5 linked regions of the Rattus norvegicus genome follow. The protein of the gene in region 2 purifies or fractionates together with the protein of the main gene of each other region. This does not show direct contact. Links are inferred from orthologs where the notes say so. Each region holds a gene or a part of one and is shown on either strand. Other genes may lie near its edges.

Region 1 (4,072 bases), on a different chromosome or scaffold from region 2:
CTCCGGTAGGAGGAGGGCTGGGCAGGGGACTTGGTGGTACATGGTCACACACTTGGGGGCAGGCAGTGGGGAGATTCAGAGTTCAAGGCAAGTGTGATGTACACAGTAAGAACTTACATTTTGAGGGCTGTTTTACTCTGCCACAGAAACGAACAGACATGACTTCTACTCCCCACCACCCCCAGCCCCAATAATCTAGGCTGTTCACTGAGGTAGCCCAATTGCTCTGCAGTGCAAGAGCGAAGCTACCTCAGTGAACAGCCTAGCCTAGCTGCACAGCAGGAACAGACACCAGAACTAGCTCTGCTGGTCACCTGGTCTTACCCTTCTCCCTCACATTCGGACACATTCTCAAGTGTTCACGTGAAGGTAGGGAACTTCACTGACTTTTGAGACTTCAGACTCTAGTTCTTTGTCTAGAGCAGTATGTCCCCTCCAACTCCCCATAACTTAGAACTCTCGTACAGTTTCACCAACAATTCTTTTAGCAGAACACACGACAATGAGAATCTTGCAACCAAACACCCATTTTTATCCCATCATTTCATCAAGATCATTTTATTGTTATTTTAAGACGCCAGGGGCCTCATACATGCTAAGCAAGCACTCCACTACTGAGCTATAATCACTTAAGTCCATAAAGACCACGTTTGTATCAAAGAAACTCAAAAGATATGAGCGCAGATTACATTACAGGTCTTTATATTAAATATGAAAGGCTATTTTTTCCCGTTTTGCGCCCATCAGTAAAGGTGATGTCATACAATTTGCTGGCTCAAATCGTCCGGCACACTGACTGTTTAACCATTCTGTAGACAGAAATCTACAGCTCCTTACTATGCTCTCTGTCTCAGTGTTGTACCTTCTGTCACAAAAGAGGATAGTCAATGTTGTTCTGGCGGGCTTAGGTCAACTGACACACACACTACGGTCACTGGAGAGCAGGGAATGGCTCAGTAAGATCCAGCTGTAGGCAAGCCTGTGGGCATTTTCTTAATTAACGATTGATGGGAAGGGCCCAGCCCATTGTGGGTAATGTTATCCAAGGGCTTACGCTATATGCAAGTAAGCTGAGCAAGTCATGTTGAACACGCCAGTAGGCAGCACTCCTCCATGGCCTCTGCATCCGCTCCTGCCTCAAGGTTCCTGCCCTGTGTGAGTTCCTGCACTGACTTTCTTGAGTGGTGAACAGTGATGTGGAAGTGTACGCCGCCTATCCCTACCTCCAGAGTGCTGGGGTTAAAGGTGTGCACCCCCACACCTGACTAGCTTAAGGATCACCCACCTCCCTGCCAACCCCTATCTAAACTATTCGTTCCTCATAACATCGGCCATTTTCCTTATATCACTTAGTGCAGTTTCTAATTATGTATTCACCTGTGCTAGTTTGACTGGAATGTCTTAGTTACGGTGAGCAGAAACGACTTGTTCAATGACACATCCTAAGGGCCTAACTCAAATACAGACTATCCTGTATCTGGGAAATATCTTGAAAGAACAATCAGTGAATCTCGGAGTCGTAAATTACAGATACTTTTAGTGTCTTCAGATGAGTCTTGTTCTAGATATCTTTTTCTGACATGAGAGACCATGGCTTTTTGGAAGCTCTAAACAGTAAGGATGCTTCTAACTCCCTACTTAATGTCACAAAGACGGCAAAAGGCCCCTGGAAGTGATAAAGAAAGAAGCTGTTTCAGCGAGTCTGGCACAAACAACAGTAAGGGTGAACCTGAAGAGATGGGAAAGGAATGGTTAGCTCAGGAATGATGTTCTCACAGCTGTTCACAATAGTTTCCAACAGCCTGAGCCTCCAGGTTGGTTCCCCTAAAGCTGGAGGACATAGCAGTCTTGCATGAGAACTGACAGTCTTCTCTTAAGTATTTTCTCAAGAAATATGAGAGTAAATTAGCTTATACCAAGTCCCAAGTTCAATTCCCAGATTCCCAAGGCCAGAAAACAGAACATCAAAACCGAAAAATCAGACTGAATTAAAATGAGATAAAAGGAAAGTGAAACCCAGTTTTCCGGGTGGTTATACCTTTTAGACGCATCTCTTCGTTTCAGGGCACTGGTCTGTTTAGTACCTACAATTGAAGAGAGAACAGACAAGTGCAAATGCATTTGATGTAGCAGAGTCTTCCTCAAATATCACACTGTAGGCATCGTTTCCTTTTCTCTCACACATCTCATTTCCCGATGTGTTGAAAACAAAAAATAAAAAAAGATGGGGGGAAGGGGTGTTTAAACAGGAAGCAAATTCCACTGTTTTTGTAAATTAATTAAATTTCAAATTTTCATGCCTACAGTCTCTTCAAGGACTGCCCTTTCTCACATACCGTACGTGCTTTAATCAAGTGCTTCTTAAAAACCCTCTAAGCTCGGTTCCTTTAGAATAAACATTGCTTGGTCTCCCAAATGTTCACTTGCTAAGAGTCTGAGATCTCAGAGACCGGTACCAAAGCAGTCCCAAGTTTAAGGGAACTGAACACCACCTGCCTTGGTCACTTGTTCCCTGGGGTCCCAAGCACAGACCACGTGGAGGGGGGAGATCCTAAAATCCCGGTGTTAGACTGTGGGATTCTTCCACGGAAGGAACCAGGGCAGCCTGCGGTGGGAAGCTCTGGGTCTCTCCCCTCACCCCCTTGGCGCAGCCTCAGAAAGAGCACCGCGCGTGCGTAGTACTCAGACCAAGGTCTCAGGGTCCCAACCTGGGAAGAGGCTCTTGTTCGTACCGGTAGCGACTCGGTGGGTGCTGGAAGCCCGGGCACTTGGGCCCAGAGAGTAAGGAACAGCAGAGTCCGCCATGGGAAATGCCGTCAGAAGCTAGGGGCGGGACAGCTCAGCAGCCGCGAGGTTCTACCTCCTTTCACATCGCCCTGAACCAAGCTGGGGGCGGGCCCAGGGAGGGCGGGGCTAGCTGCGGAGGGGGCGGGCCCAGGAGGGCGGGGCGAGCGGGGCGGGGCGAGCTGCAGAGGGGGCGGGCCCAGGAGGGCGGGGCGAGCGGGGGCGGGGCGATCGGCGGCGGGGGCGGGTCCAGTGAGGGGAAGAGGCGAGCTGCAGAGGGGGCGGGCCCAGCGCGGGGCGGGGTGAGCGGCGGAGGGGGCGTGCCCCAGACCGGGGGCGGGGTCATGAGTGCGGCCTACGTAGCCAGAGTGGAGACGGAGGGCAAGAAGCAGGCGCGTGGACTGGCGGGTAGGTGGACGTGCAGGATCAGGGTGGATCGGGCTCGCCGAACACGACCTGCGCCGCACGCGGCTCGCCTGCTAGGCCCCTGGAGGTGCTGGAGCCTGGACGCCCTGCTCTACAGGAGCTGGGGGAGGAAGAAATGGCCTCCTTTCGGCTCAGCCCACAGGCGCGGTAGGATGTGATTTTCCTGTTCGCGCCTGCAGGGCAAGGACCATCACTGCTGGCCTCATTTTCGTGATATTTGGTGATCTCACTGATGATTGTTTCTGTGATGAGGGAGGTCCTGTGGAGAACGGGGTGGGCGGCATCGGAATCTTCAACTTCTTGGGGTGACTTAATGGTGTCGGATTCCAGTTTTTGTCAATGGGACATTTAAAAAATTACCTAATGTTTCATTCAAGGTCCATAGTGTGAATTTTTGTTTTTCATGAAGGATTACTTTCTCCTTTTAAAGAAGGGTCTTCTAGTAGTTCTTTCTAGGGCTCTTTTTCTTTTTTTACTTACCATTCTTTCAAAATTCTGCTGTTTAGGCATTACAGTAGGGGCTTTAAAAATGCTTCATTAGGCCAAGGCACTAACGTTCAGTAATAGCAGTTAACCTATAAAACTTTTCATTGTGTTGTCTAATAATTCAAAATGAAACAGTTTATGAAACATGAAAGTTACATGGTATCACACAATTAACTGTTTTGTATTAGTTCATTTCAGCATCAAAACTAGGAAAAGTAATTAGGAATGGCTGTGGAGGAACTTCAGTGCATAATAAAAAGATGTGTAAGTAATTCTCCAAAACGCCTTTAAATATACGGGAAGAACATAGTGTATCTTTACTTTGTAGTCACTCATATTATTTATCTTACTAATTTCTGCTTTTTTTTTTTTGACT
Region 2 (2,559 bases):
GACCGCTTCTCACAAAGCCCTTTTGTGCCTCTTGGTCTTTCTGTGCAAAAGACCTTTTCACTGCTTAACTCTCACTTCATCTTCAGTTCTATCTTATTCTTCAGACAGTTCTTCCTTGGTCCACTGTATTCATTTTCACTGATTGTATACATAAGGACTCTCTTAGATGAGACTTGATTCAAGCAGACTTGGACAGAAGGAGTTGACTGATTTATGTAACTCAACAGTCCAGGACTAGGGTGGTTTCAGGCACCTCCGTTTGCCCAGGTGTTTTTCAGCCTTTTCCTAGAGTCCTTTCTGGTACCACCTTCAAAATACCTTGTCCTGTCTGTAAGTGCATTGCCCAACAGCCAGGTGGATTCTTTTAAACCCTAATAAGTTTATTTCTCAAATCAATTTGCATTTGTCCTCCACTGTTAACCTTCTCGTTAGCACCTGATTTAAAGTAAAAGCTAAGGTCTTTGCCATGGTCCTGTAGACTTTCCACCTTCTGCCTCCTTCGCTTGACTTCAGCTCCTTCAATCCTCCTCTTTTTCTTTAGCCACAATGGCTTCTTGGCTGTGCCTGCACCATACCAAGCATGCTCCTACCTCAGCACTTTTGTATTGGTTCTTATTTGTGGTGGAACACTTATCTTCCATATCACCCCCACTAGGTGGGAGAGTTACACATCTGTAATCTCAGCAGTCTGGGCAGGAGGATCTTGAATTGGAAACCAGACTGGACTATATAGTCTCAAAAGGAAAGCTCTCAGTGAAGCCAAACCTGAACAATCTTCGAAACTGAAGCCTCCTCTTTCTACCTCTTCTTTAGTATTTAGTTCCTTATACTATTTATTTCCTTATACTTAACACATCATAATTGTGTTTGTATACTTTGTCTCTTAGTAAATGGCTTAGTGCTTAAGTGTACATACTGCTGTCCAGAGTAACTGAGTTCGGTTCCCAGCACCCATGTCAGGTAGCTCACAACCACCTGTATCTACAGCTCAAGGAATCTCATATCATCTAACATCTGTGGAAATCTACATTCATGGTATATTTCCCACACATATAACACAGATAATTAAAAACTAAAAATAAAGTTTTTTAAAGGAGCTCCAGGAAACCAAGAATTTAGTTTCATTTACTGCTGTTTCTGCTATTTCCCTATTTTAAGTTGCCTGGCATACAGAAGGCATTCAATAATCTTCCCTTCTTATCATCATATAGTCATTGTGATGGGTTTCATAAAGAGTTTCTTTCAAGTATATCACATAATTTGATCGTATTCATAGACCCATACCCCCACTTCCTTCATCCCCATAATCTTTTTTTTTTTTTTTTTTGGAGCTGAGGACCGAACCCAGGGCCTTGCGCTTGCTAGGCAAGCGCTCTACCACTGAGCTAAATCCCAAACCCCTCCCATAATCATTTTTTAACAATTGTTACTACATTTTTTTCTGAGTACATGTGAAGGTTTAAAATCAGTTCTCTCCTCCACTATGTGGATCCTGGATATTGAAATCAAGTTGGCCCTATCACCCTTGATCTTTAAATGGGGAAATTCCAAGAGGTAGCCAGACATCTCTGCATAGGATCAGGGCAGGTCATCCAGGATACAAGCGTTTCTTGAAGTGATGAGGAAGAGTCATCCTCACAGCCTTAAGTGGGGCCCATTTTGCCCTTTCTTGTTCCTTTTTTTTTCTAGGCTCAGCGACAGCCTCACCAAGGACTCCATGAATATCAAGGCCAATATCCACATGATGCTAGAGGTGAGAGCAGCTCACTCCACTCGACCCTTCAAATATATTTAGGGTGATAACCTGAAGACAGGAGAAATCCAAAGAAGGGAGGGGTCATCTTTCCTTCTAAATTAAAAACCAAAGGAGTGAAAATCAGAGCAAACCTGGGACAAGACCTAGACCCAGCCTCTGTTCAGTATACTTTGTCCTCTTTTACAGGGACTTAGAGAACTACAAGGCCTGCAGAATTTCCCAGAGCCATCTCCCCATTGACTGCATCTTCCCAGCCTCCAATATTAAACAGCCTGAATGCCTTGGAATCACATAGCCCTTTTTTCCCCTAATTTTCACTAATTGACTAAGTGCTCCAGAGACCAAAATTACTGGAAGACCCATCCTTTCTGTTGAACCTCTAAAACATTCTTGCCTTTAGAACATCTTGTATTTTCCTCCAGACTTTATGCTTTACCCTCTTTTGTCACCTTTCGAACCTTGACACTGCTCCTCACACTTTAATTCCTTTTCCTAGATATTTGTATTGGTGCCCTTTGTATTACCATAAAGAATGGACTGATTGGTGAGCTGAAGATGAGATTCAATTGGTAGAGTGCTTGCATATCACACATGAAACCTTAAATTCAGTCCCCAGTTCTGTGTACACAAGCTGGATGTGTGGCACACCTGTGACCAGGTCACTCAAAAGATAGAGGCAGAAGGATTTTTAAGTTTAAGGCAATCCTGGGCTACATGAGACCCTTGAAACAAATTTTTAAGGTTCCAGTTCAAAGTGATTTGTTTCCATGGCCCTCAGCTTTTTACTTCATATCCTAAGGGTT
Region 3 (4,034 bases), on a different chromosome or scaffold from region 2:
ATAGTTGACTGGTGTGGAATCTGGTATATAGACCAGACTGGCCTCCTAATTCTTCCTTCTAGGATTAAAGGTGTGTGCTCAGTGCCGCCTTAACCTTTAAAAGACCCCCTTCTCAACTCCTTCATTCAGCCCTAGTTTGGACGATCTTACGGAAGGGTTCCACATATGAGCTCTTGCTACCCTGCCCTAGAACTTCTGGCTTTTCATGCCTCACACTCCAGTGTGGGGGTAAGCAAGCTGCCCTGACTGAAAGGTATCAATTACCAATATGGAGAAACACCGCTTCATCAGGTGACAAATCTTATCTCTCCCTTTCAGAATTAGGCCCGTAGTTCCTTTTATATCTTCTTATGTGTGTGTGCATGTGTGCAGCGCCACACTTGCTAGAGCAGTTGTGGATGGAGGGAAGGGAGAGGACAACCCTCCAGTTCTCTCCTGAATCTCATGTGGGTCCTGAAGATCAAATCGAGTCTTCAGAATTAAGGACAAGAGCCAAAACCCGCAGAGCCGTTTCTGAGGGCATTACAAAGAATGCAATCCCATCATCCTCTGATCAGATCCCTGTGGCCTCTGTCAAGCACTTCCATAAGTAAGAAACACACACATGCACTACACAGCTAGTTACTCTCAATGTTATTTAAATGGTGGCTTACTCTGTTAAGTTCAACAGAAAAGAATAAATCAGGCCAGACATGATAGTACAGCTTTGAATGCTAGCACTCAGGAGGCAGAGGCAGGCGGATCTCTGAAATCCAGGCCAGCCTTTGGGACACAGCAATATCCAGTCTCAAAATTTAAAAAGTAACTAAGAAACTATGGGAAGCCAGGTGTGGTGAAAGCTTTTAATTCCAACACTGTGGACAGCTGAGACAGAGACCAGCCAGAAAACGGGGAGATGGGGGTAGATGGTTGGGGGACTGAAGTGATGACGGTTCTTGGAGACAATCTGGGCTCCACTTCTAGTACCCACACGTGATAGTTCAGGTCTACCTGTAACTTCAGTACCCAAGGACCCAATGCCCTTTTCTTCAGCATATGATGCACATACATACATGCAGGCAAATTCTTGCAAATAGAAAATGTTTTTTTTAAAGAGGGAGAAAGGGAAGCTGATGAGATGGTTTAGTCAGTGGAAAGTCTGCCTTGCAAGCCTGACCGGCGTTTGATTCCCAGAATCCAAACAACAGGAGAGAACCTACTACACCCAACTGTCCTCTCAACCTCCTCATGTGTGCTGTGGTCTGCCTGCATCCACACACATGTGTGCTGTGGTCTGCCTGCATCCCACACATTCCACAGGAAAAAACAAGTAAGTCAGGCTTAGTGGTCTATACAATTCTAGTACTTGGGAGGAGGCAGAAGGATCAGTGTTTAACGCCAGTTCTGACTCCTGAGACCCTGTATCTAGGAGGCATGGTGATACAGAAGATGCCATCAATGAGGAGGGGGAGGAAGAAAGATCTGTGAGAGTTTGAGGCTAGCCTGGTCCACACATGGAGCTCCAGGATAACCAGGACTGGAGAGACCATGTCTCTATAAAACCAAAGCCAAGAAACCCTATCTAAACAAAACAGAACACAGCATTAGAGAGGGGGAAATGACCATTTAAAAAAAAAACAAAAAACACACTTTTTGACTTTTCTTTCAGCGACTTGAAAACATCTACCACCAGAATTAAGCAGCTGTCCACCACTCCACCAATATTTTAGGCAAAAGCAGTGAAAGCAAGAAGGTTACTGGATTCCCCTTCTCCTTAGCTTTAGCAGATACGCTGTGGGATTTGTGAGGAGCAGGTTTTCAGACCTATGTAAAATCTGAATATCGAAAGTAGGAATCCACTGCAGAGCCGTCCCCCCCGCCCCAGGTTGGACAAAAGGAAAGCTGTATTTTTAACCTTTACTCAACCACTGGAAATTCTGTGTTCCCACAGGGTGAACGGTGGAAAGGTGGCAGGTTCTACCTCGGTCCTGGCAACCCGGGGTTTTAAACCTGATTGTTAACTGCATCCTTGGTCCAGCGAGGTCTTTTTGAAGTTTCTCTTGCGAAACACACTTCCAGGATAACAGCACCTACCTGGCAGGTGCTCGCTGAACGCAGCAGCGTCCCCCTGTCCTCAGGACAACAATCTGATGAGCAGAGAGCCACAGTCACCCGGGCTGGGTCCGTGTGCGGATGCACGTTCAAGGGGAAAGAGCACTGGAGGGAGGAGGATGGCTTTGGGGTGTGGGGGGGTTGGGGGAGGAAAATGAAGGAGACGGGCTCTCATCGCACTGGGACGTCGCCCTGCCAAGTCACACTGATGGGTCCTTGGACTCCGGATAATGAGAATGTGAAAGCAAGGGCAGGGGGGTGACAAAAAGGCAGGGTCCCCAGACCGGGAGGCGCTGTGTGCGCGCCCCAGATCCAAGCGGCTCCCGAGAAAGACCGGCCTCTACTGGGCCTGGTCCCCACCGGCCCAACCCGCCGCCCGCCCGCCCGCCCGCGCGCCGCTCACCTTCCAGCAGCCGTTGGATGATACTGTCGATGTTGAGTTTATCGATATCCGCCATCGCCGTCCCGCCGCCGACCCTCCCGCAGCGGCGCCGCCGCCGGCTCGCGCCCGGGTCTCACTCGTCCTCCTTCTTCACGCCACGAGCCCCACGAGCGGTGGTGGCGGCGGCGGTGGCAGCAGCAGCCGCGGCGGGTCCCCCCCCCAGCCGCCCCGCTCCCGGCTTCCTCCTCCTCTCGCCACTGGAACCACGAGAAGAACAAAATGGCCGCCGACTCCTCAGGCCAGCCTCGGGCGGCGCACGGATGCGCGCGCGGGAGTGCAGCGGCCGGGCCGGGACTTCTTTACAGGCCCATAGGGCGCGCGGGAGGGGGCGGGGCCATCTGCAGGAGGGGGCGGGGTTTGGCCCACGGGGGGCGGAGCCCGGGCAGAGACGGTTGAGCGACGCTGCAACAGCGCGCGGGATCCTTCCGCCAAACGGGCGGGGGAAATAGACCCCCCCGTGGCGGGAGAGTGAAGTTGCAAAGTTGGCGCGCGCGAGTTGGAGATGGGCATTGACCGGCGGCTATGCGCTGCAAGGGTCACCCTCTCCTCCCGACTCTGCTGCTTTGAGACAGAAGTCGGTCGACCTGGCCGGGTGGGAACCCATTAGGGAGTCACCCCTCGGAACCAATCTGGGGTGGGGTTGCCCGTGGAGTACCCTAAAGAGGAGGAGGTTGGAGCGTTGGGGATTCAAATATTCCGGCTCATTGGTGAATAGGAAGAGCTAAATACACGGCTCCATGGTAAGAACTCTTGTCTAGTATGTGTGAGATCTTTGGTTCAAGCCCCAGCACTGGCAAGATTTAGTAATTCTGCAATAAAGCACCTAAGATCCAATATTTGGGGGAAAAAAGAAGACCCCAAGATAAGCCCAAAATGTTAATCCATCGTGAGTAGCACATTATTTCGGTAATGTGTGTGCTTCTTGTGTGCATTTCTGCAATTTTACATTTTTAGAGAGAGGTTGGGAGAATTCTGTAAGGGATGCTATCTATCTTTCAAATTGTCTTCCTTGAACTCAGAAAGTTAAATAATAACGGAGAGATTCCCCTGCATTTAGCCCGAGCTGGGTTGAATGAGCGCGCCGGAGCAGAGAAAATGGGAATTTGCACATTTCGCGCTAGGAACGCGGATGTTAGAGGCTGCTGTGCGCTCCAGGTTTCAGCACATTCAGCGGCTGCTTGCCTCTAGCTTCCTCGACTCCCCAGGGGCACCCCTTCACCCAGGGGTCCCCAACTCTGCTGCCACTCAGGCTAGCTGCATATTGGAAGAAATGCACACCCATCTGACCCATTTATCTCTCCCAGTAGCACTCCAGAGTTTACAAAGTACTCTCTCCCCCAGTCCCCATTCCAGTTCATCATGTTTCTCAAAGCAGGAAGGATCGGAAGACTCCTTTCCATGCATGCCTTGCGAGGTGGTTTCCCCATCTAGAGATTCATTTTCTGCAAGCTCTGTCTTCCCACGGCGCCGCATTGTGGTGTGGGATGCACCCATCCAGATC
Region 4 (3,976 bases), on a different chromosome or scaffold from region 2:
CAGTCTCAGCTTCAGCAGCCTATTGGGGGCCCCTCCCTGGTGGGGGGACTCCCCCCTTCCTCTATGAGGTTCTTCCTGCTTGCCTTAGTGCCTGAGCCACGGACTCCTCCCATCACGGATGGGAGGTGTGAAGAGTCCCCGACTTGCCCAAGTTGAAGATGACAGGCCACTATCGGTTTTGAGGTTACTTGCGTGTAAAACCAACTCATGGTTCCAGTAATAATTATGCTTTAATGTCGTCCCACCACTCCAACCCACTGTCCTGGGTTTTCTTTTTTGAGAGTGAAAGGGTACAGTCTGGGAACAAGGGTCTCACGTAGCCCAGGCAGGAGATGAACTCACTATGTAGTTGAGCATGACCCTGAACTTCTGATCCTCCTGTGTCCAGACTCCTGAGTGCTGGAATTTCAGGCACTGGAATTACAGGTTTATGATACATTGGGTTCTTTAATGTGTTACTGTTTAAAAATAATACCTTTCCCCCCTTTTCTTTCTTTACTTTCCTTCCAGAGCCGGAGATAAAACCTCAGGCCTTGCACATGCTAGACAAGTCCAAGCATTCTACAAAGGACTTACAACAGGAAGGAGATAAAATAGTATTACATCACTTAACGAAAAAAAAAACCTGACGTAGCAGGCACCAAGGCAACCTGGACCAAAACATTGCTTCGAGTTCAGTAGCAGGTGTTCATGGGTCTGGCCATAAAGACCGAGGTGAATGTGAGGCTCTGGAGGTTTGGAGCTCACTCTCAGTGTCATTGAGCCTTAGTTCCTTTTTCTGCACTTCGAGGAATTACTTTACAGTGTTTGAGAAGTCAGCGATTAACATGCTCACACCACAATCCCACGCAGGGCTGGGGTGGGAAGAGACTTGGAAAGAGAAAAACAATTTCTACAGTACTTCCGGTTCTAACTCATCAGAACGCAGCAGGGCGATTCCTCCTGGGTGGAGCCGACCCAACTCCGCCCTACAAACCCCGCCCTCCACCCCTGCCAGGCCTCGCCCGGCCGCCCGAGGCCCTCCCCGGCTGCAGTGCTTCCGGTCCAGGGGAGGCGCTAGAGAGCAGGGAACTACGGACGCGGCAGGGCGGGGCGGCCGGCCGAAGAGGCGGGGCGGCGGGCCGAGGGCGGGCTGGGGAGGGCGGAAGGAGAGCCAGGCCGGAAGGAGGCTGCAAGAGGGCGGGAGGCAGGAGAGGGCCCGGAGCTGGTGGGCCGGAGCGGCGGCGCCGCCATGTCCGACAGCGAGAAGCTCAACCTGGATTCCATCATCGGGCGCCTGCTGGAAGGTGGGTAGGGGTAGGGAAGGTGCGCGCGCGCCGAGCCTGGGCCCATCGCCGTCCGGAAGTAGAGCGCGGGCGGGCCCGCCGCTCTCGGGGGCTAGCGTCGCTTGGGCGGGGACAGGCCGTGAGGTTCTATGGCCACGGCAGCCCTCCCTACTCCCTGCGCCTAGGCTTTGGAGCGCGCTCCGAGGCCGGGGACGCTTGAGTGGCCGAGACTCAGGGTGAGACTCCTGCGAAGCTAGCTGGGAAGGGGTTCTGAGGCGAGGAAGCTTCGGTTGACAGGCTGCTGAGCACAGGCGTGTCTCTGGAGGGCCTCCGGGTGGCTAAGGGGTCGTATCTTGCCTTTGAAGGCCTGATGCAAAGGTTTCAGCGGGGGCTCCCTTGCAACAGTTGCTGGTGTTGGGGAGGGGCGCATGACATTCGGTCTGCGAGGTCAGGGTCCCAAGACCCTATTCCGTACCCAGTGCAGGGCTCACGGCCTGGAAAGAATGTGCAGCTGACAGAGAACGAGATCCGTGGTCTTTGCCTCAAATCCCGGGAGATTTTCCTGAGCCAGCCTATTCTTCTGGAGCTTGAGGCGCCTCTCAAGATCTGTGGTAAGCCCTTGCTCAGAACCCCTTAGCTTCCTCAAAATAGCCCCTTACTCCTGCCCCAGTACCTGTGTTTCCGTTGCTGGCCCTGGGTTCAAGTTTACATCTTGGACCTACCTAGTCTTCTCTGGTTCCCAGGTGACATCCATGGCCAGTACTATGACCTTCTACGGCTGTTCGAGTATGGTGGCTTCCCTCCAGAGAGCAACTACCTCTTCTTGGGGGACTATGTGGATCGGGGAAAGCAGTCTTTGGAGACCATCTGCTTGTTGCTGGCCTATAAGATCAAATACCCGGAGAATTTCTTTCTACTACGTGGGAACCATGAGTGTGCCAGCATCAACCGCATCTATGGCTTCTATGATGAATGTGAGTGCTTTGAATGTTGCTGGTTGCCCAGAACTACATTTCCTGCACTTCATGGGCCCCCTAAATTGTTCTAGTGCTGAGAACCCTGATGATGGGTCCTGCAAAGCCCCAACCAAGCTGTCTGTTATCCATGGCACCAAGGAAGGGCCTGGTGAATGGATGTACATGCAGGGCTGCCCGTTTGCTAAAGCTTCCTCCACAGCCCTGCCCGATGACACTTCCCTCTATTGCATCCCTTACTAAGCATTTAGGGTGCATGTTATGAATAAACCAGACACTGAGGTTAGGCCAGACTGGAGTTCAGGTTCTTGTGGACCCAGGTGTTGGAATTCTGGAAGGTAGATGAGGGCAGAGCAAGGAAACTGTAATAAGCTTTCTTTGCCTTCTAGTCTTTGCACTTTGTCAGAGTAACCCACAAAGTACCCTGGAGGAGTGCACAGAAAACTATAGACTGGGTTTTGTGTGGTGGGTGGTCTTCCCTACGAGCCATTTTCTTCTGTGCAGGCAAGAGACGATACAACATCAAACTGTGGAAGACTTTCACCGACTGCTTCAACTGCCTGCCCATTGCAGCCATTGTAGATGAGAAGATCTTCTGCTGCCACGGAGGTCAGGATGGTTGTGGGGTCTGTGCTTGGGCTATATCCTTAGGGGCCTTGGAAAGTTAACAGAACTCTCCTGTTTCCTGGAGTAGCTCTCCTTGAATTTGGCTGTCACTTATTACAGGTCACCCACAGCCCAGTTTGTTTTTGAGACAGGGTTTTTCTGTGTTCTGGAACTCACAAGAGTTCTGGTTATCTCTGCCTTCCAAGTGATGGGACTAAAGGCCTGCACCACCTCACCTGGCTACACACCCCAGTTCGACTGCGCTTTCCTGTTGTGGTATTTAGCATGCTATAGGCAACTCATTCATCTCCTTCCCCCACGGAGGTCTACTCTTTTTTTTTTTTTTAAATATTTATTTTATTTATTATATATGAGTACACTGTAGCTGTCTTCAGATACACCAGATCTCTTTATAGATGGTTGTGAGCCACCATGTGGTTGCTGGGAATTGAACTCATGACCTCTGGAAGAGCAGTCGGGTGCTCTTAACCGCTGAGCCATCTCTCCAGCCCGTACTCTTTGTACTTCTAAAAGCTGAGGGATGGCCAGGTGGCGGTGGCATACAAAGGGAGTTCCCTGGGTTGGGGATTTAGCTCAGTGGTAGAGTGCTTGCCTAGCAAGCACAAGGCCCTAGGTTCGGTCCCCAGCTCCGGGAAAAAAAAATGTTAATACATAAAATATCCAATAAAAAAAAAACTGAAAAAACATATTCCTAAAAAAAAAAAAACAAAAACAAAAACAAAAAAAACAAAGGGAGTTCCCAGACAGCCAAGGCCACATAGAGAAATGGGGCCAGCAGGAATATAATGAACTCTGTTTCCCTAAACTTAAGGAGCCCAAAAGATGAACCCAGCGTTGGTGGGGAAAGTGGAGCTGACCCCTGAGACCTTTCTGGGCATGGGATAGTACCTGCTTTTCGGTGTAAGGAACACTATTCTCACTCTACCACCCCAGGCCTGTCTCCAGACTTGCAATCCATGGAGCAGATTAGACGTATTATGCGGCCCACGGACGTGCCTGACCAGGGCCTGTTGTGTGATCTGCTGTGGTCTGACCCTGACAAGGATGTTCAAGGCTGGGGCGAGAATGACCGTGGAGTCTCCTTTACCTTTGGGGCCGAGGTTGTAGCCA
Region 5 (3,518 bases), on a different chromosome or scaffold from region 2:
TGCCATCTGCACAAGCACTGGATCCATATTTCCAGCAGAAACGGGTTGCGGGCAGGCGCTCTCCCTTCTGGAGCACTTCTTCATAGTAATACATTAAGCACCATGTCCTCGCCCATGCTCCAGCGTGACCCTGAGGTCTTAATACAAAGGTTCACTCACTCACTCCCTCGCTCACTCATTTACCTACTCATTCACTCACTCACTCGCTCGCTCACTCATTTACCTACTCATTCACTCACTCATTACTCACTCACTCATTCACTCACTCATTACTCACTCACTCATTCACTCACTCAGTTGCTCGCTCACTCACTCGCTCGCTCACTCACTCATTCACCTATTCACTCATTCACTCACTCACTCACTCTCAGTCAGTCACTCACTCACTCGCTTGCTCACTCATTCACTCCTCACTCACTCACTCATTCACTCACTCGCTCGCTCACTCACTCATTCACTCACTCACTCATTCACTCACTCACCCACTCACTCAGTTGCTCACTCACTCACTCATTCACTCACTCATTCACTCACTCATTCACTCACTCATTCATTCACTCACTCATTCACTCACTCATTCACTCACTCATTCATTCACTCACTCATTCACTCACTCATTCACTCACTCACTCATTCACTCACTCACTCATTCACTCACTCACTCATTCACTCACTCACTCACTCACTCACTCATTCACCCACTCACTCACTCAGTTGCTCACTCACTCACTCTCTCAGTCACTCAGTCACTCACTCGCTCGCTCACTCACTCACTCCTCACTCACTCACTCTGTGTGCGCACGGGCGAGTGCCTACATGTCCATGGTTGGAGGCCAGAAGGTGTTGGATCCCAAACTTGGGTCCTGTGGAGCAGCAGCCAGTGTTTTTAACCGCTGAGCTCTGTCTCCGCCCCCTGGGTATTTTATGTGTCACAGGGTTCCATACAGACCATTTGATCGTACATTCTATGTGGGCTGTTTCAAGACCTCGTCATCCACAGTAGTTGCATGGACTTGTGTCCTTCAAAGATGGCAGCTAGACCCTTCGCCCTGTCTTGTCCAACCTCACCTCAGGCTGTACAGCTACCTCCTTCTGGAATAACAGTTGGGTGGGCACCTACCAGTTCTTGGGGTCTACTCAGTAAGTGTACTTTCCTCTGTGCAACACTCTGAAGGGCACAGCTTTTGTCCCTCCATGTCTTACACACTCTCTCCTCCTCCTCCTCGTCTTCATGACTGAGCGCTGGTTCTCAGATTTGCCTGCCGGGCATTACTGAAGCTGTGCTGTGAGGTGCTGTGGTAGGCTGTGGAGACCGAGCAGTAGACACAGCATGGCAGCCTGCTCTCACGGAGGCTATGTCTCAGCTGGGAGACAGACAGCAGTATCTGAGGACCGACGGCTATGGAGAGCAGTGGGGCAGAGACAGGCAGCACCAGAGCGGAGTTGAATTGGGTAGTCAGTGGGCAGAGGTGAGGCTCAGTCATGGCGTGCTTCTAAGCATGCATGAAGCCCTGGAATCAATCCTCGGCAACACAGAACAAAAACAAAAACCTCAAAGCCAAACCAAACCAGACAACCACCTGCTTGGCAGGCAGTCACTGAAGGCCTGCTGGAAATCACCTTGTGTTTGCTACTATTCCACGTCCAATAACAAATCGAATTGGCCAGCTCTGTGGTTTTATTTACTGCAGTCCCTTCGATATGTAGCACATATTAGATGTGAGCACCGGGCTCCAGGGTATGAAACCAAGCACTGTCTCTGGTGCTCCACACAAATCTAGCAGTCTGGGAAACACTGCATCAGATGCAGTTAACGTAGTCCACAAAAGCAACGCAGAAATCCAAGCTTGTTAAAATGACAGTCCTGGGGGCTGGGGATTTAGCTCAGTGGTAGAGCGCTTACCTAGGAAGCGCAAGGCCCTGGATTCGGTCCCCAGCTCCGAAAAAAAAAAAAAAAAAAATGACAGTCCTACCACACAACTAGTGGTCCTCAATATCTGGCTTCTTAAATGTGGCCTTTCTTGGATCAGGTTTCCTAAAGCAGCGAGGCTTCGTTCCTTCCCACTAAGGCAGTCTGGGAATGTTATACCTCATTGGCCCGCTTCTTCAGGCCCTCACCTCCGATCTCTAGCATTTGTTTAGCAGCACACTCACCCGGTGATGCCCGAGGTGACATAGTCCTTCCCCAGGTAGTTGTAACCATGGCGAACGAGGTCTTCACACACGTCCTTCACTTTACTCCCTCCAAAGGCGGTGCCGTAGTGGAACCTGCCGTCTAACACGCCTGCCTTGCCGGCCAGCAACTCAATCAACTTTCCAACCTGTGAGACAGGAAGGGGACAGACTACGTGAGTGCCCGCCCGGCTGTCAGTTCTCCCAGCATCCCTGCCTTTGGCTTATGTTTTGAAAAAGCAGCTTCAACCACACCCAGCGATAGTGAAACATTACCAACACCAGCATTCCTGGGTATCCTGCCGAAGAACCCTGGCCTGTGGGACTAACTTCCCGGACTGAATTCCCTAGTTTTCAGATATTGAAACTCAAGTACAGAGCTAAGCACTGTGGCCACGGCCCCTTGGCCTGCGACAGGATTGCAGATTACAGGAAGTGACTGCTCAAAGAGACATGGAGGTAGGCTCAGCACACAGGACTCTGTGTCCCAGAGGACAGTGAGGGACAGGGCAAGGAGTCCGTTTATCCGTCAGGGGGCCACTCAGTGTAACTAAACTAACTGCCTGCTTCTTTCCCTCAGAGCAGTGCTGCTAAAAAGCCCAAAGGTGACTGACCGTCATTCTCGATGGGAAGCCGTGAGGGTTCATTATGATGTCGGGACAGATGCCAGAGTCACAGAACGGCATGTCTTCTTGGGGGACGATCAGGCCGCAGACACCTGGGGGACAGGAGATTTCACAGCACGGGAAGCAAATGGGCAGGAGGGAAGAACACAGTACTTAATTGGGATCTCCCTGCTGCTGTTTCTATTCCCACTGTTCTGAAACCCTCCCCATGGCCTCCATCAAGAGCAACAAAAGCAATTTCCAACAACCCTGCTAGCCAAGCAGTTCAAAACGACTCTCCTTGCAGAAAAGCATTGTAGGCCGCCGAGTGGCATGCTGGCATGGCACACAATGGTGCGGTGCTGCTGTCAGGCCGCCTGCCTACCTTCCCTGAGCACCACGAAGACCAAAGGGCAGGCTCGAGCCGGCTCTCGTCCCGGAAGCTTTTCAATCCACAGTTTCTGCTTCTTGTCAGCGAGGTTGTGGTCTGCTGGGTTTTGTGCCCAAACCACAGGAATGCAAATTCTCAAACCACCAACAAAGAATGATTGAATACAACTAAATGTGTAAAATGTGGATTTAAACCAGGACAACAAACCTTTGTGTGGGCTGCAGAGACAGTTCAGTGGTTAGCTGGCTGCTCTTCCAAAGGACCCGAGTTCGGTTCCCAGCACCCACATGGCAGCTCACAACTGTCTGTAACTCTGGTTCCAGGGGAATCTAACATCCATACATGCAGGC

The links.
Region 1: the proteins of Uxt (region 2) and Rpap2 purify together in Homo sapiens (affinity purification with mass spectrometry; 4 studies listed by BioGRID and IntAct, counting the BioPlex papers as one, with this or other methods). This does not show direct contact. The link is inferred for Rattus norvegicus from reciprocal best matches to the Homo sapiens genes UXT and RPAP2.
Region 3: the proteins of Uxt (region 2) and Ppp1cc purify together in Homo sapiens (affinity purification with mass spectrometry; 4 studies listed by BioGRID and IntAct, counting the BioPlex papers as one, with this or other methods). This does not show direct contact. The link is inferred for Rattus norvegicus from reciprocal best matches to the Homo sapiens genes UXT and PPP1CC.
Region 4: the proteins of Uxt (region 2) and Ppp1ca purify together in Homo sapiens (affinity purification with mass spectrometry; 5 studies listed by BioGRID and IntAct, counting the BioPlex papers as one, with this or other methods). This does not show direct contact. The link is inferred for Rattus norvegicus from reciprocal best matches to the Homo sapiens genes UXT and PPP1CA.
Region 5: the proteins of Uxt (region 2) and Polr3b purify together in Homo sapiens (affinity purification with mass spectrometry; 3 studies listed by BioGRID and IntAct, counting the BioPlex papers as one, with this or other methods). This does not show direct contact. The link is inferred for Rattus norvegicus from reciprocal best matches to the Homo sapiens genes UXT and POLR3B.

What each region holds. Positions count from the first base shown.
Region 1 is NC_086032.1:2,329,348-2,333,419, forward strand, and holds the start of Rpap2 (RNA polymerase II subunit B1 CTD phosphatase Rpap2), read right to left. Parts: upstream 2,808-4,072; 5' UTR 2,806-2,807; coding exon 2,733-2,805; coding exon of another isoform or gene 2,709-2,732; exon of another isoform or gene 2,705-2,708; intron 2,085-2,704; coding exon 2,039-2,084; intron 1-2,038. Other genes in the region: Glmn (glomulin), read left to right, coding at 3,922-3,960.
Region 2 is NC_086039.1:3,689,902-3,692,460, forward strand, and holds the end of Uxt (protein UXT), read left to right. Parts: intron 1-1,689; coding exon 1,690-1,753; intron 1,754-1,942; coding exon 1,943-1,996; 3' UTR 1,997-2,043; downstream 2,044-2,559. UniProt on the Homo sapiens protein: Involved in gene transcription regulation. Acts in concert with the corepressor URI1 to regulate androgen receptor AR-mediated transcription. Together with URI1, associates with chromatin to the NKX3-1 promoter region.
Region 3 is NC_086030.1:40,058,500-40,062,533, forward strand, and holds the start of Ppp1cc (serine/threonine-protein phosphatase PP1-gamma catalytic subunit), read right to left. Parts: upstream 2,803-4,034; 5' UTR 2,550-2,802; coding exon 2,495-2,549; intron 1-2,494. UniProt on the Homo sapiens protein: Protein phosphatase that associates with over 200 regulatory proteins to form highly specific holoenzymes which dephosphorylate hundreds of biological targets.
Region 4 is NC_086019.1:210,913,413-210,917,388, forward strand, and holds the start of Ppp1ca (serine/threonine-protein phosphatase PP1-alpha catalytic subunit), read left to right. Parts: upstream 1-1,163; 5' UTR 1,164-1,231; coding exon 1,232-1,286; intron 1,287-1,744; coding exon 1,745-1,876; intron 1,877-2,008; coding exon 2,009-2,239; intron 2,240-2,743; coding exon 2,744-2,848; intron 2,849-3,799; coding exon 3,800-3,976. UniProt on the Homo sapiens protein: Protein phosphatase that associates with over 200 regulatory proteins to form highly specific holoenzymes which dephosphorylate hundreds of biological targets.
Region 5 is NC_086025.1:20,939,630-20,943,147, forward strand, and holds part of Polr3b (DNA-directed RNA polymerase III subunit RPC2), read right to left. Parts: intron 2,891-3,518; coding exon 2,787-2,890; intron 2,322-2,786; coding exon 2,155-2,321; intron 1-2,154. UniProt on the Homo sapiens protein: Catalytic core component of RNA polymerase III (Pol III), a DNA-dependent RNA polymerase which synthesizes small non-coding RNAs using the four ribonucleoside triphosphates as substrates.